Drosophila melanogaster: one gene and its partners. The protein of the gene in region 1 interacts with the protein of each later gene in a pairwise test. Each region holds a gene or a part of one and is shown in the gene's direction. Other genes may lie near its edges. The genes, in order: CG12679, CG17666, Dpm3 and CG4676.

What was found.
Region 2: the proteins of CG12679 (region 1) and CG17666 interact in a two-hybrid assay, tested with the Drosophila melanogaster proteins (one large-scale study listed by BioGRID).
Region 3: the proteins of CG12679 (region 1) and Dpm3 interact in a two-hybrid assay, tested with the Drosophila melanogaster proteins (one large-scale study listed by BioGRID).
Region 4: the proteins of CG12679 (region 1) and CG4676 interact in a two-hybrid assay, tested with the Drosophila melanogaster proteins (one large-scale study listed by BioGRID).

What each region holds. Positions count from the first base shown.
Region 1 is NC_004354.4:20,375,219-20,378,167, reverse strand, and holds CG12679 (uncharacterized protein), read left to right. Parts: upstream 1-1,645; 5' UTR 1,646-1,775; coding exon 1,776-2,348; 3' UTR 2,349-2,404; downstream 2,405-2,949.
Region 2 is NT_037436.4:12,779,427-12,784,921, forward strand, and holds CG17666 (uncharacterized protein), read left to right. Parts: upstream 1-1,898; 5' UTR 1,899-2,035; coding exon 2,036-2,091; intron 2,092-2,148; coding exon 2,149-3,843; intron 3,844-3,877; exon of another isoform or gene 3,878-3,961; coding exon 3,962-4,264; intron 4,265-4,318; coding exon 4,319-4,883; 3' UTR 4,884-4,951; downstream 4,952-5,495. Other genes in the region: CG10969 (uncharacterized protein), read right to left, coding at 1-1,595.
Region 3 is NT_033777.3:13,402,040-13,404,845, reverse strand, and holds Dpm3 (Dolichyl-phosphate mannosyltransferase subunit 3), read left to right. Parts: upstream 1-1,794; 5' UTR 1,795-1,857; coding exon 1,858-2,007; intron 2,008-2,075; coding exon 2,076-2,210; 3' UTR 2,211-2,287; downstream 2,288-2,806. Other genes in the region: yellow-e3, read left to right, coding at 40-387, 452-845, 911-1,398.
Region 4 is NT_033778.4:13,234,064-13,237,568, forward strand, and holds CG4676 (uncharacterized protein), read left to right. Parts: upstream 1-1,916; 5' UTR 1,917-1,951; coding exon 1,952-2,192; intron 2,193-2,244; coding exon 2,245-2,858; 3' UTR 2,859-2,992; downstream 2,993-3,505. Other genes in the region: Qsox1 (quiescin sulfhydryl oxidase 1), read right to left, coding at 1-834; CG4679 (uncharacterized protein), read right to left, coding at 3,251-3,505.

The sequences.
Region 1 (2,949 bases):
TACTGCAGAAAACGGCCGACAATCTTGGACAACCCATTGGGTGCATTTTTCAATAGCTACTTTCTTGTCGTTTTCCGAAACAATTTTTAATTCCGTTGGTCGTCTTAATGTTAGACAACATTTATGGCGGGATAAATTGGAGGTGTTTTTGTGTAAAAATTTGAGCACTTTCTGGCATTGCCTGCAGAACAGCCATCCGTCCAGAACAGTTTCATCTTCCTTTAAAATGTCACATAAAATGCTCCAAATAACACTTTTTCCTTTATGTTTATTGGCAACTGAGTATGTTCCATTGTTAATTTTATTTTTAACGAAATCAGCCGCTTCTGCCATTATTGTGACCTTTTCCTTTGGCTTCCAAATAATACTGAATCCTAACAAGCTAGTAATTGCATCGTAAAAAACAAAAAAGGGGCAATTAACAGCCGAGACACTGGACCAAAGACACAAGAACTCAACAATCATTATGTATGGCGCCATTTGACTCGACTACCTACGAGACCACTCGAGTATTTTTGGAAACACCCGAGTATTTTTGGAAACACCCATGTGTTTAACGGTATACCCACAAGTGTTTTTCTCACTCATCCCTTTTTAGGCACTGTGTGAGCGGCACCCGCGACGCAAAACACCGTATTGATTCGGGTGCGCACACAACGGGGTGTCTTGTCTGCATGTTCAGATTTATACTGTGTGTTTGTAAGTACCCGCGATGTGCGTGGCGAGTAGCACCCGCACACAAAATTGTAGGGTGTGAGTCGAGTGGTAAAAAAGTGCCACCCTTGCAGTTCTCTGACTGGAAAACCATGAAAATGTCCTTGCCAGCTAAATGCCACTCTCTCTCACACACACACAACCACACACACACGTCCAATGCAGTGCGGGAAATTTCTTGGTATAAACTTAATAATGCATCGGGGCAAATAAAGGAAAAAAGCAAAAGAAACAACGGCAAGTCGGAAAGCCAACATAAGTTTTGGGGCTAACTTGTTATTTTTGTAATTGGCACTTTGCAGTTTTATTGAAGCGTTGGAGCCCCGAAAAGGGCGCTCGGGATTTTGGGGGTTACCACTCCCGTCCTTTGTGCGGATCAAAATCCAGATTGGTTATTTATATACTGCGTTCGTTCAGGTGTTGTGATCGATGTTCTGATGCTGCCTCCCTAACCACTCAGCCGGGAGTGACTCAGTGACCCTGCCGACATCCATCCCTGGTCGTAATCTGAGGTGGCCAACGTTAGCCACTTTGGCGATGAGCAGCCTTTGTCCCCTTGGCATACTGGCTGCACTGGCTTGGTTATTGGTTATATTTGGTTCAGGAACTTCGGGATTTGAAGTGGGTTTGGATTAGACAACGAATGATTGCAACGAAGGAAGGGTATGCAAGCATACTTCATAATGAGGATTGTTAGTCCTTGTAGCCATTTTAATTCTCATGTTGTATGTCGTAAAAGGTAAAAGGTATAAGTATTTGAATAAGAACGAGAACCCGATACATTTGTGTATTGCTTATGATATGGCCATTTTAAATCTCAAAACATTTATCTAGCAAAACTGAGTTGATAAATCGATTAAACAGAGTTGGCCTGGACTCGGTCTTCAATGTTCTGCCAGTGGGAGTCATTTGGATTCAGTCATTCCAGACCCCAGTCTCAAGGTAGCAACTTTCAAAATTTTTAGTTCCTGTGTTCGTAACAAATAAGTGAAATCGCATATCGTGATACCAGACTGACAGAATCGATAGAATTCTCGAAGGAACGAAGAGAAGCGCCGAAAATGCATGTGGTGGGGGCACTGGTCAATCTGCTGCTGATCTTGGCCTGCATTTACACGATGACCTCACTGACCCCGGCGGACCATCCGTATGCCTTCCTGGCGGCATCCTTCAGCCTGGTCCACGGAGTGCTGGGCGTGGTTCGCTCCTTTGCCAACGAGCCCGACGAGTGCGGACGCACCTTTATGATCTCAGCCATCATACTGGAGGTTATCCCGCTGCCACTGGCGAACATCGAGTTCTACCTGGTATCCGATCAGTCGGGAGTGGCGCTGGTGCACGGCCTGTCGTTGATTCCACTGTTCTACGACATGATCGGCAAGATCAGCGAGGACTGGGACAGCTCCACGGAGACGCTGATGGACCTCGCTCTGTTGGGCAACATCGGCTCCACGTTGTATCTGGCCATCAAGGACGGCAACCATATCTACTTCGGTGTGGCTGCCACCGCGCTCCTCGCCAGATACGGCGGTGCAATTGTCGATAGCTGCAACGAGGGCCTTAGCAACGTTGTAGAGACTCTGGGAAACACCGGCATCCTGGCCCTTATGACCTACGCACTCACTGAGGGCTAATTGCTAAAACTTAAATTTGATCGGTTCGCGAAATAAAGCCAAGATGATGAATCAGCATTTGAAATTGGTTGAGCCAACTATCATTGAATACAAGGCACTAGGGATTTGTAGTTTGGGGATATGAATTACAAATCTACAATGAGAAAGGAATAAGCAATATAGCACTACTATATAAGCCATAAACCATGTCAAGGGTATACAGACTTCGGTGTGCTGCGGCTAACTAGCCTCACTCACTCGCGCGACTTCAAATTGCCAACTTAGTTGTTATTTGTTCGCTGTCTGGCTGAAGGGGCAGCGCGAAAAAGACGCGGTTCAAGGGCCGAAGGACGACGGACGACGGACGAGGGACGAAGGACTGGGGTCTCAGGACGAGGGACTCAGGAGGGCAGAGAAGGAAAGGGACGGGGCAATATTCGTGGACGCAGCACTGTGATGGCTCTCACGTCACCACTTCAGCAAATTGCGGCAATAATGCAACAAAGGTTTCTTGGGAAACACATACCAAATTGCATAAGCAAGGCAAGGCAAGGCAAGGCCACGGAAGCGGGGTGGTGTGGCCCGCTTCCTTGGGGCGGTGCTGGTGGTGGATGGATGTTCA
Region 2 (5,495 bases), on another chromosome or scaffold:
TCTTCGCCGTTTTCCATTGTTTCATCTGGTTGGGCATCTCCCACGTCGTGTTCCTCTGCCAGTACATCAATAAACTGAGTTTCTGGCGCCCAACGTGGGACGTCAGTGGCATTTTGGGACAGCACATGCATCTGTCGCACTCTTGTGGCTCCACACGCGCTATTCAACTGCAGTTGCACTTGTGCAATCTGCGCCTGAGCCTCGAGCATTTGCTTTCTTAGCTCCTCGGCCAGCATTTCGGTCAGGCCATAGTTGTTCTCCTCAATGCCTTGCTGTTGCATTTGTTGTTCCATTTGATCACAGGTATTCACTTGCTGAAGCTGCTGACAAGGATACACATTCTGCATCTGCGGCAGAACTTGCTGCTGCATCGACTGCTGCAAATTGTATGCAAATGCTTTGCCAGACTGCTGCTGCTCCTGACACTTGAGACATCCTTTTGGTTTCACATTGGGACAGGGTGGATTTCGTCCACAATTTCGTTGCTGTTGCTGGAAGCAAGATGGTTGCTGCTGCAAGCAAGATGGTTTCTGCTGCAAGCAAGATGGTTTCTGCTGCAAGCAAGATGGTTTCTGTTGAAAGCACGGTTGTTGCTGTTGAAAGCAAGGTTGTTGCTGCTGAGGACAAGATCGTTGCTGTCCAAACCAATTACCATTCTGTTGCTGCGGACAACCCGTGCACTTATTGCACCTCGAAATCGATGGCGGTTCGTTGTTCATGTTATCATTTTCACAATCGAGGCTGAGGAAATGTGCTTCGGTAACCTGGCAAGCGGTGACTATTTCCGCTTCACCCATAATTTGGTGTTCCTCATCGCATATGGTCACGATATTTCCGCAATTGGGGACGTCGGATTGAAACCATTGGCAAGTACCAGGACGATGTCGTGTGGGATACTCTCCTCGAAAGCAGGGAATTATCTTCGAGTTCGATGGCTTCGGTTCCGTTTCTGGTATACATTCTGTGGGCTTTTCTTCCTCTATTATAAAATTGGTTTTCGTTTCCGGTTTCAAGTTCTCATGCGTTTCCGGGATTGAATTATTTGTGTCTTTCACTTCTGTTTGCTTGTTTTCTTCGGTCAAACTCGGAACTCCGGAAGGTATCTTTTCGAACTCTTTTTCTCTGGCCTTGGCGACGGATGCCTCACTAACCAGCTCTGGTATCTTATTGAACTCTTCTTCCCTGCTTTTTGCCTTCACTGTGGGGGATTCATTGCGACGTTTGGCTGAGGCCATCATAGACTGACCAGGAGTCTTTGAATTGGGTGGATCTCCTCCCAACACTGGTTTCACCGGCATACCCGCCTTCAATCGAACCGATGCCTTGGGCTTACTGTGCGACATCAATGGCACAAACTCTGGACTTCCCATCGATCTGCAGACACTTGCCTGCCGGCGACGACGAGGTGTTGGTGGGCAGGATGATCGGGAACGCACGGCTTCCTGTCCAGACGGTAAGCTCTGAGCCAGGGCTCGCACCAGCTGCTGTCCGACTCGATTGCTGTATTGCTCCGATGCTATGTTCCTCCTCGGAGGAGGACTCGCATGACGCCAATAGGGACTGGGCCTGGTTGACTTGACTCCGTCATTGGGCATTTCTTCTTTTTTCCCAAATACAATTTTTTGTCTCAGTTATACAATGCTTCCGTTTAAATTTGTTTTTTGGCGTGACAAAGAATTTTGTAATGTCATTTTTTTGACCAAAACTAAAAAGAGAGTTTTGGTCGACATAAATAGTAAGTTAAATAAACCAAGGAAGTCTTTTTGTTTACAAGGTTTCTCTTATATTCATATCATATTATAATCTGTAAAGAACACATATATGAAGATGGTAGCACCACTTTCAAAACGTTGTTTTATCACAACTGATCATGCAATGATTTTAACAATATAGTCTTAGTTTAGGACATCAAAAATATAAATTGTACCATTTACTTCTACTTTTTTATGATTTTGACTACCGATGTTATGTTTGTGTACTCTTCGTAATTGACCATGAGTGAAGGTGGACTTTTAAACAGAACCAGGAGTTGAAAATGTGCGATCCATGTCGATATTTAAGGAGGTGCATAAGCTGCCATGGCAATGGCTGGTAAGTATAAGAATATAGTTAGTGTCTCAACCCAATTGCATTTATACTCATCCGCAGGTGCTGTCCTCGACCAAGTTGCTGTGAGCGATCTTGTTCCTCTAATATGAGGAATTGTCGCGTCGTGTTTTCTGGGGAGTTCCAAAAGTTTTCGGACATGGTGCCGCCCAGTTTTCTTCTAAAGACGCCAGAGCGCCCAAAGAAAAGGAAACGATCGAAAAGTTGCTCAGCCTGTGGGGACAATTGTAAGGATCCGTGTTTAAACATGGATGCATGTGCGGAGAGTTGTGAGAATCCATGTCAAGATGGTAAGAATGGATGCAAGAATCCTGAAGATTGCGCGCAAGACGATCTAGCTAGAACTGGAGCCTACGGAACAGGCTTTGGCTTCCAACCGGGACAACCGACTATTATTCCGTGTTATGGAACTTACGGACCGACAGGAAATCCAATGATTTTTGGTATCCCGCCACCGACTCAATATGGAGGCTTTGGTGTACCTGGTCCCATAGTTCTACCAGTGGCTCCACCATCCTCGGTAGGTCAGGGTGATCCAAGATCTATTCCAGCGGCAGGTCTACCCACACAGTACACAAATAAGTTTAATCCCTGTACCGGAGAAGTCTACCAATGCGGAGATCGCCAAATGCCACCTGGAAGGCCACAAGGAACGGCGCAAGTACCTTCCTATAATCAATTTATACAGGGTTTAGGCATGAGCTGTGCCCCCAATAGTCAGTATATTCCATTCGATGCAACATTCCAACAACGTCCAATAAATCAAATGCCAGTCACTCCTACCTCAGGAGGAAGTGCACCAGCTTATGGCCGAAATAATCAACCAATGAACTGTGAGCCCAACAATCAGAATTATAGCTATACTGTTCCCCAATCAACGAATCAAGTTCATGTTGGTGCTAACAGATCTGAAGTCTATAACCAGCAGAGTCAAGCCACACATTCAAGGCCAGTTCCCCAATTGGAGTCATCAAAGGGGCAACTGCCTCATGGTAACAACAGATCTAAATCTCCAAATCAACGAAGCCCATCTAGGGGAGATCGATCAGGCAGAGCTTATGCCAATAATAATTTTCCTGAAAATGTTCATGCTAGTCCAGGTGCTCAGAGGTCCAAGTCGCTCAGTCACCGAAATGAGTCGAGGGAAGGTCGTTCCGGAAAACCACAAGCCAGTAGAGCCACAACCAATTATCATTCTAATAGTGGTGGAGATAGAAATGTAGATCATAGGTCCGCGCCCAAGTCAATGGCATCCGCTGGTGAAGTGCGTTCTCGTGATAACAACAGATCGTACGATTCAAGAAATCGTAATAAATCTGTAGGAGCACCTACCAATCGACAACCCGTACTTTATGACCAGCAGAGGGTGGGCATGGGCATTGATCCATCCAATCAGTATTATCCGTACAATGAATGCGCTCCACTTAATGCCACATTTGTCCAAGACCATAATCCTTTTTATGCTCAGCCAGGACATGACGTGAATAGAACGCAAGCAGCAAGTGCACCAAACTTATCGAAGGCAGGACCCAAAAAGGATAAAAATTCGAATAAAGTTCCATCAAGCTTTAAACCATCGAAGGAGAAATCCACTAAATGCTGCTGCACTCGGTTCGATCCCAACAATCAATACTATCCTCATTACGTTTCCGAAGAATCTGATTGTCCACCGGAAGAAAATGTGAACTCTGGAAAAAAGAAGACGCAGGAAAAGAATTGCCTTGAGCTTCTCAGCCGGTGAGTTTAATGTCAGAGTTCGTGAGCTATTACAGCTCTCGAATTAGGCTTACTCAATCCACCATTCGGCACACATCTTTAATCGAACACGAAGTAATGTCTTCCGTATCCATTGCAGCCTCACCGAGTCCTGTCCTCCGTGTGACCTGCAGAAGTGGTGTCACCTCCTGATGCCGAAGGACAAGGACAAGAGCAAAAAGCAAGCGAAACCGTCTGCCAAGAAGAATAAGAAATCGAATGGCTCAAAAGTCAAGAACAAGATGAGCGAGCACAGCAGCAACGAAATAGAAGGTACCGTAGCATCACCACAGGAAACACCAGAAGACGAGGATGCCCACTGCCCGTGTAACTGCAAGAAACCATGTCCAACGCCTCCGACAAAAGAAATGCGCACCTGCGGCTGCTCTGCCAATTTGCCTGAGTGAGTACCCACTTCTGTCCACTTCCATCAAGGAGTAATTAATGCGTTTCGCAGGGAAAACGAAGATCCTCCACCAGCACCCTCGAATCCTCCACCAGCACCCTCGAATCCTCCACCAGTACCCTGCAATCATGCTCCAGCTCCAGTAAATACCTGCTGCATGCCCTGCTCGAACCAATGTCCTTGGTCCTGGTACTATAATCCCTGCACCGGCTGTTACTACTACTGCGCGAATTGCTGCAATGGCTGTCGTAATTGCTGCAATTACTGCTGCAGTCCGTGCGGTTGCTGTTGCAGCAACTCCCCTGCTGCTCAGCTGGAGAAGATTCCTCCGAAGCCGAAGCAAAAGGAAAGGCAAGACAGATCGTCCAATAGCACGCGAAATTCCGGCGGCACGGCTGTGAGTTTGGGAAGCTGTGCTCCGCCTTCTACGTTTGCACCCTGGAAATGCCCAAGGCAAGAGGTTTCAACCATGCCGGGCTATTCTCCGACTGCCTCGCCACACTTCAGCTCTCCATACAGTGGGCGGTGGAAGGCTGGCTGTGTGGATAGTCATCGGAACTATCAACGGAATAACCAAGGTCCTCCTTTCAACATCGGCCGCGTGCACCATGTCTAAATTAAACGTTGAATATTTTTTACATTTTCACACAAGCCTATCTCAAAATAAAGAACATTTTGGAATGCACTTTTCTCTTCCTTTTTAATTGTTTATAATTTAAAAACAGGCATATTTCTACGATTTTCCTTAGTACTTTTTATTAGTTCAAATCGGTATTTTGTTTCTTTTTCATTTTATACACTCTTTTATGTGTTTCTCTCTTTTGTATACCATATACATATATAGATTTTTTCGAAAGTTTTGTGGGCTTTGCTTGTAGAAAAACTTAAAAAGTTTCTTTAAAATATAAATTTCTTGTCATAAAATTAAATACATCTTTAAAGTTGTTTTAGAAAAGACCTAACTAAAAACTATGAACATAGCACATTGTAAACATGTTTGTGTAGTGCAGCCATCAATATTGTATGGTATGTTTATAATATAATAATAGGGGAATATTAGATTGTTAAATAAGAAAATAGGCATTAAAACTACGGAGAAATTCTAGCACATGATATATGGATCTGGGTTCTCCCGCTTCCTCCTTTAAACATAGATTTAAACTGAGTTTGGCTTGCATATTGCCCTTTACGTTATGTAATGTGGTTTGCTTGGTTAGCTTTCGTGTTG
Region 3 (2,806 bases), on another chromosome or scaffold:
GCGCGGAACTGTCACTTAGCAGGTTCTCATTTGATAGCCATGTTGGTCGTCCTGCTCGCATTATTTTGTGCAGTCCAGGGCCAGGCATTGGTCCTCAAGGAGCTGCACACCCTGCATCAGTGGACGAACCTCAGTTTGGGCGACGATCTGTCCAAGGGCAATCGCTTTCTGCCGGTGGATGTGGACATTGAGTACGGCGATGAGGGCAGGCATCGCACCTTTCTCACGATTCCGCGACTGGGGATGGCCACACCCTTCACACTGGCCACCGTCATTGCGGAGCACAATGAGCTGGTGGAGAATCCCAGACTGGAACCGTATCCCAACGAGGAGTGGCACGTGCCACCCAACAATTGCTCCGGCATCACCTCAGCCATTAGGACTTATGTAAGTAATAAAGCATATTTTCCCAACAGAAGATATTTCATGAATATTTATCGTTTTCTCCCAGATCGACGAGTGCTGGCGACTCTGGGTGGTGGATTCAGGGCAGGTAAACTCCCTGCAGTTGTGCCCGCCACAAATTCTCACATTTGATTTGGTGAAGGACGAACTAGTCCAACGACACGCACTTCCGCCCGATTCCTACATTCCCAGCGTATCCATCTTCACGGCTTTGGTGGTGGATCTGGCCGAGAGGGGCACACCCAACCGATGTGTTGGCGGCAGAGCGTATATAGCCGATGCCTGGGGTTATGGTCTAATCGTGTTTGACTCCCTGACGGGACGATCCTGGCGCATAGAGCATGAGTCCATGAAGCCGTCGCCCTTGCTGAGATTAGGACGCTCCAGCAACTCGCAGGCGGGAATATTTACAGTGAGCCTCAGTCCCAGCGAAGTGGAAGGTAGCTATTCAATTTAAATTCTAAATACTCAAAAATTATTTATAATTTCCAATGCAAATTTACAGACCGCTTTCTGTACTTTCACACGCTGAACTCCTTTAATGAGATGAGGGTTCCGCTCTCCCTGATCAACAACGAGACCTTCTGGAAGTCTGCGAATGCCAGCAGGGATAGCTTCCACAGCCTGGGCACCCGAGGAATCCAGTGCGAATCGGAGGTGATGGATCAGTCGGGGAATCTCTACTGCAGCCTCATCAGTTTAGGGGCGCTGGTGAAATGGGAGGAGTCCGTGTCCAACTACACGGCGGATGACCTGCGTGTGGTGGCCTACAATCCGCACAAGATCAAGTTCGTCACGGGCCTCAAGATCAACAGGAATTCCAAGGGAGAGGAGGAGCTGTGGGCCTTGAGCAGCCAGCCGAAACTCTTTGTTGGCGGCGACTTGCCCGCGAACGAGGTCAAGTTCCAAATAATTGGCTGCCGAACCGCTGACCTGCTTGCCAACACGCCGTGTACAGTGGGCGCCGCAGAAACCACGCCCACCAACGTTTAATTAAAACTTAGTTTTAACAAGTTTGAAACTGCGTCAATCGATTACTCTGATTTAAATTGCTGGCTGTAGAAGGCTGGCTGTTATGGCGCAACTTTGATCTATCGATAAATTGCTGACTGTGTTTAGCTGAGTAGTATGGCATTTGATTTGCTGACTGTGGATAGCTTTGTGCTATGGCACGTGCTTAGGGCTTGGTCACACTTAAGTTAGCCAATTAGAAAAGTAAACAATGTCTAACTGGAAGCCGTCAGGCTACGAATTACTAATTAGAAAATCTCCAACTAGACATGAATAGGAAAACCTCTAACTAGATTTGAATAGGTAAACCTCCTATCGATAGTAGCCGGTAAATATCGATATCGAATTACCGGGTGACCATCGGCTTAAGTTCCAGCTCTATGTTTACGTGTAGAACTTTATTTTCGGTTTAGTTTTGTTTACCAATAAATTTCGTTAGCTATGACAAATCTACAACGCTGGCTATTTTACGCATCGCTCTTTGCGATTCCCTATCTCTCCGTTGTTTTGGGAACAGTGCAAACGCCACTAACTACCAAGTATTTCCTGCACATTCAGCTTTTACCACTTTTGCTCCTCGTGATTTTTGGAGTGAGTTTTTGGATATGAATCAATGCAGATAACACCTCTTATTGACTACTACTATATATTACCCACAGATATATTCCGTTTGGACTGTTCTATATAGAACTCTGACTTTTAACGATTGTCCCGAGGCCGCCAAGGAGCTGCAGGATGAAATTCAGGAGGCTCGCAAGGATTTGATAGCCAAGGGATTTCGGTTTCGAGATTAGGAGACTTCCAGCTCGTAGGACTTGTGCATGTTAATCTGTAATTCCATTATTTATAAAAACAAAAATTACGCAAATTTACTCTAGACCGCATTTTGTGTGGGCGGACGCGTTGTTGGGGGCTGATTTCCCCAGGTGTCGGAAGTTTGGTGGCCAAATTATGTTGAGGTTTTGAAAGGATATGCTTGAAAAAGTATGGAATATGTTTATGTTTAATTGGCTTAGCTCCCCTGTGAATTACTCAAAATAAAAAATATAAGAAAACTAAAAAAGTATATGAGGTAAAATACGTTTAAAGAGATTAATAATATTCTTTACGGAAAACATATTTTTACTTAATGAACATGGTATATGGAAAACTCGTAAGTGCGAACCATATATTGCAAATCCATGCTTTGGCTATCTATTTCCAATAAATCAATTTTTTTAAAATTCTCTTAATTACAATGCGAAAGAGAAAAAAATATACTGTTTCAAAACTTTAATTTTCTCTTCTGCAAAATACTGGAAGGAGTTATAATTGCGAAGCTGAATGTTGTGATACTCAAAAGATCCAATATAAACCGATTAATAGCCATTTGAAGTTAATTTGTGTAATT
Region 4 (3,505 bases), on another chromosome or scaffold:
CAGCTTCTTGGCATACGATTCACCATTGGTAGATTCCGGCGCGTACGCCGTAATTTCACCTTTGCGATCCACCAAGCTGAGGGGCAGATTGGTCGGATCAATCTTGAATTTGGCGGCCACGGCTGGATCGATGACGCGCCGGACCCTCACCGCTGGCCACTGGGTCATGAACAGAGCCACCTCGACGCCTAGAGTGGTGTTCTCCGGTTCGTGAACCACTGCCACGTACTCCGTGGCGCTGCTGAGACCTTCGAACAAACTGCTGGCTGAATCGTTCTCCGTTAAGTAGTGAAAGTTTGGCCAGTAGGAATTGTTGTGGCTGCTGGTCAGGTTCTCTGCGGCCACCATACCCGCTAGTATTTCGCGGATTTCGTTTTTATCCTGCGTATGCAGGCTCTGCCCGTAATGCTGAGGACCCGGCTGGAAACCGGGGCCCAGATAACGTAGCGTTGGATAGCCCATCACCTCGTAGTTGCGGCAGATGCCATTGTTCTCCTCGGCGGCGCAATCGATGGCCGCCACGATGAGCACCTCGGACCAGGGCAACAGGTGCTCCGCTACCGACTTGTACGTGGGTGCGAATCTGCGACAGTGGCCGCAGTAAGTGTTGTAGAACTCGACTAATGCTCCGCGATTCTGGTCCAGGACGGTAGCATTGAAGTTGTCGACCGACAGGCGGATAACCTTATCCCCGTCGTCGTAGAGACCCAGTGTGGGATCCGATGGAGGGGACTGCTGCTTGAGGAGCGCCTCGTATCGCGGAAGGGGAACGCCCGCGGATGCGATGTCCACCAGCAGAGCGACGGCCAGAATCACCAGGTGCGTCGCCGACATTTTGCGGATCTACCCAATTTGCGGGATCGGTTGCGGCTGCGATTCGTACGGAATGCGATGTGGAACGCGACTGCTCTGCTGCGATAAGATTTAACTTCACCGAAGCATTTGGAATGTTTTACGGTCGCAAGTGGTTTGATTAACTGCTGCCAGGGATGCCAAATCGTCTGCTTTCTAGCTACGATTCTTCAGCTATTTTCAAAACTCGCGAAGCGAAACGATGTTAAACGTTTTTCGTGCCATATAATTTGTGCATTTTTAAATTACTTTGCCTATTAATTTGTTTTATTGTCAGTAAAAGTCATTTGGTATATATGTATAAACTACTAGCTACACGAATTCATTTTTACTGCGAACTAGTTCGCTCCCAAAATTTTAAAACCTAAAAAAGAAAAAAATTATTAAAGTAATATAAAAAGAACAGTGCACCTAGGCTAGGCAATGTTTTATACCTGCTTGCACTCTACATCAAGGAAATGATTATTTTTCACAATTTAAAACTTTACATTGTTTAGTTAAACATATTCTTTTATTTTATTGTCTCGTTCGTCATATGGTTTTCGATAATCCGCAAAAAAAAACCCCAACCTATTATGCACACGTATATATTAATTGAATCGCCTTTAAAAGTTCCAAGAAAAAAAACAAAGCAAAGTTTCATCGAAGCGCTATGCCTTATCAATTTTGTATGGTTTTTGTTTTTGTAATTTCACAGTAGAAATCCCCATTATAAAGTCGTTCTTTAATTTCAAATAAAATTTTATTTTTAATTTCAAGTTTTTATGTAATAATATAAAGCAAACTTAAGAACTTAAGCTTATAACATTTGTATTCCTTTAATATACCATCGTTTATGACATTTGATTTATTCGTATTAAGTTACTTATTATTACCTTATATATTTATATTTCTTTAAATTAAATCATTTGTGTTCTTTAAAAACCGGATTGCTTCTGTTAAATTCAATCTTATTTAACATTTTACGGGTTTCCTAACGTAAAGAGTTGTGTTCTAACCGTTTCACCATACTCGACTTAACAGTCTTACCGTTAGCAGCAGAGCCAAAAATCGCTTTGCAGCACTGTCTCAGTTGGGGGGTACAAAAAATAACGGGAGCATGATGATTTTGCGCTCGTGGGATCGCGTTAAACCTCGTTCCATTTCGGATTTCGCATGTTTCCTCCTGGTGGCTGTCTTTGTGCCCGTGACATACATCTTCCATGTGACCATTGTTATGCCGGAACTGTTTGCCATCGGAGGGATTTGGTACACGTTATTATGGTTGGCCAGCCTGTTCCTCATCTTCAACATCACATCCAACATGCTGGCCTGCATGCTTGTGGACACTAGTATCCGCAGTGGGTAGCAAGCAGTGATTTTGTGGTATCCCTTCTAAGATTGTCTTTATAGAGGAGCTGCTGAAGCCACCGTTGGATGCGGCGCAGCTGGCACGGTGGCACTCTTGCCAGGATTGTCAGACATTGGTGCCACCTCGATCCTGGCACTGCGAAGTGTGCAACGTGTGCGTGCTGAAGCGGGACCACCACTGTCGGTTCACTTGCTGCTGCATCGGGCATCACAACTACAGGTACTTCTTCTACTACCTGGTTTACATGATCATCGGATCCTTGGCGGCCGCCATCATGGAGAGCATCTATCTGTGGCATCTCCATCTGGACATCTACTGGCGCTGGTCTACGCTGTTCACCATATTTGCTCCCGTGGTTAGCCTGATGCTGTCTCCAAGCTGGGAGTCCTTCTACTTGGTCATATATGATCTCACCCTTCTGGGCTTCGCCATATCATCCTTGCTCCTTGTCTTCCACTGGTCGATATTCAAGAGCGGTTCGGTGACACGAGAGCGCGGCACAAGAAAGTACGATCGCGGTTTGCGGGGTAACCTGGAGATGGTTCTGGGCAAGAGAATGCATCTCACCTGGCTGTCGCCGTTTCTACGCAGCGATCTGCCACACGACGGAATGAACTGGGAACCCATAGCCGCCTTTTCTCCAAAGGAGGAATAGATCTGAATTGTGTCTTACCCATTCTTGACATTCATTAGAGGCATTTACTTATATCTACTTCATAACAAAATCAGTATTGTTTATTTTAAGACTCACTAGTCAACATCTGAATTGGAAATAGTATCCAAATTTATACGTCTTACTATTCTCTACTTGACCAATGGAAATTAATTTTTAATGTTTACAAGTCACACATTTGATCAGCTTACAAGTTAAAATAGTACAAAGCCTTTTATTAACATAAAGCTTTACAAAATATTTAGAATACTGTGTATTCATTCAGTAATGTCTATTATATGTATTAAATTAATCTGTTTAATGAAACCAAACAAGTATTTATTAAATGGTTATTTATTTAACAGCGTTCATTATATAATTTACAAAAGACTCTACTACTTATCGAGGAAACTTTCGCCTACGAGCGATTTCAGCTTAGACAGGTGTGTTTCATTTAGGGTAAATCCTTCATGAATACGTTTGGCTAACTCCCTGGAATCAAAGTTGTTCTCAACGGCATATTGCAGGGCAAACAGCGCCTGGCTGGGTGACTTCTCCTGCACACTTGCGTCCACAAATTCTATCAGAGCATTTAGGCTTGGTGTTCCGGGAATTCTGTGCTGGTTCTTGTCAATGTGGGCGAAGACTTC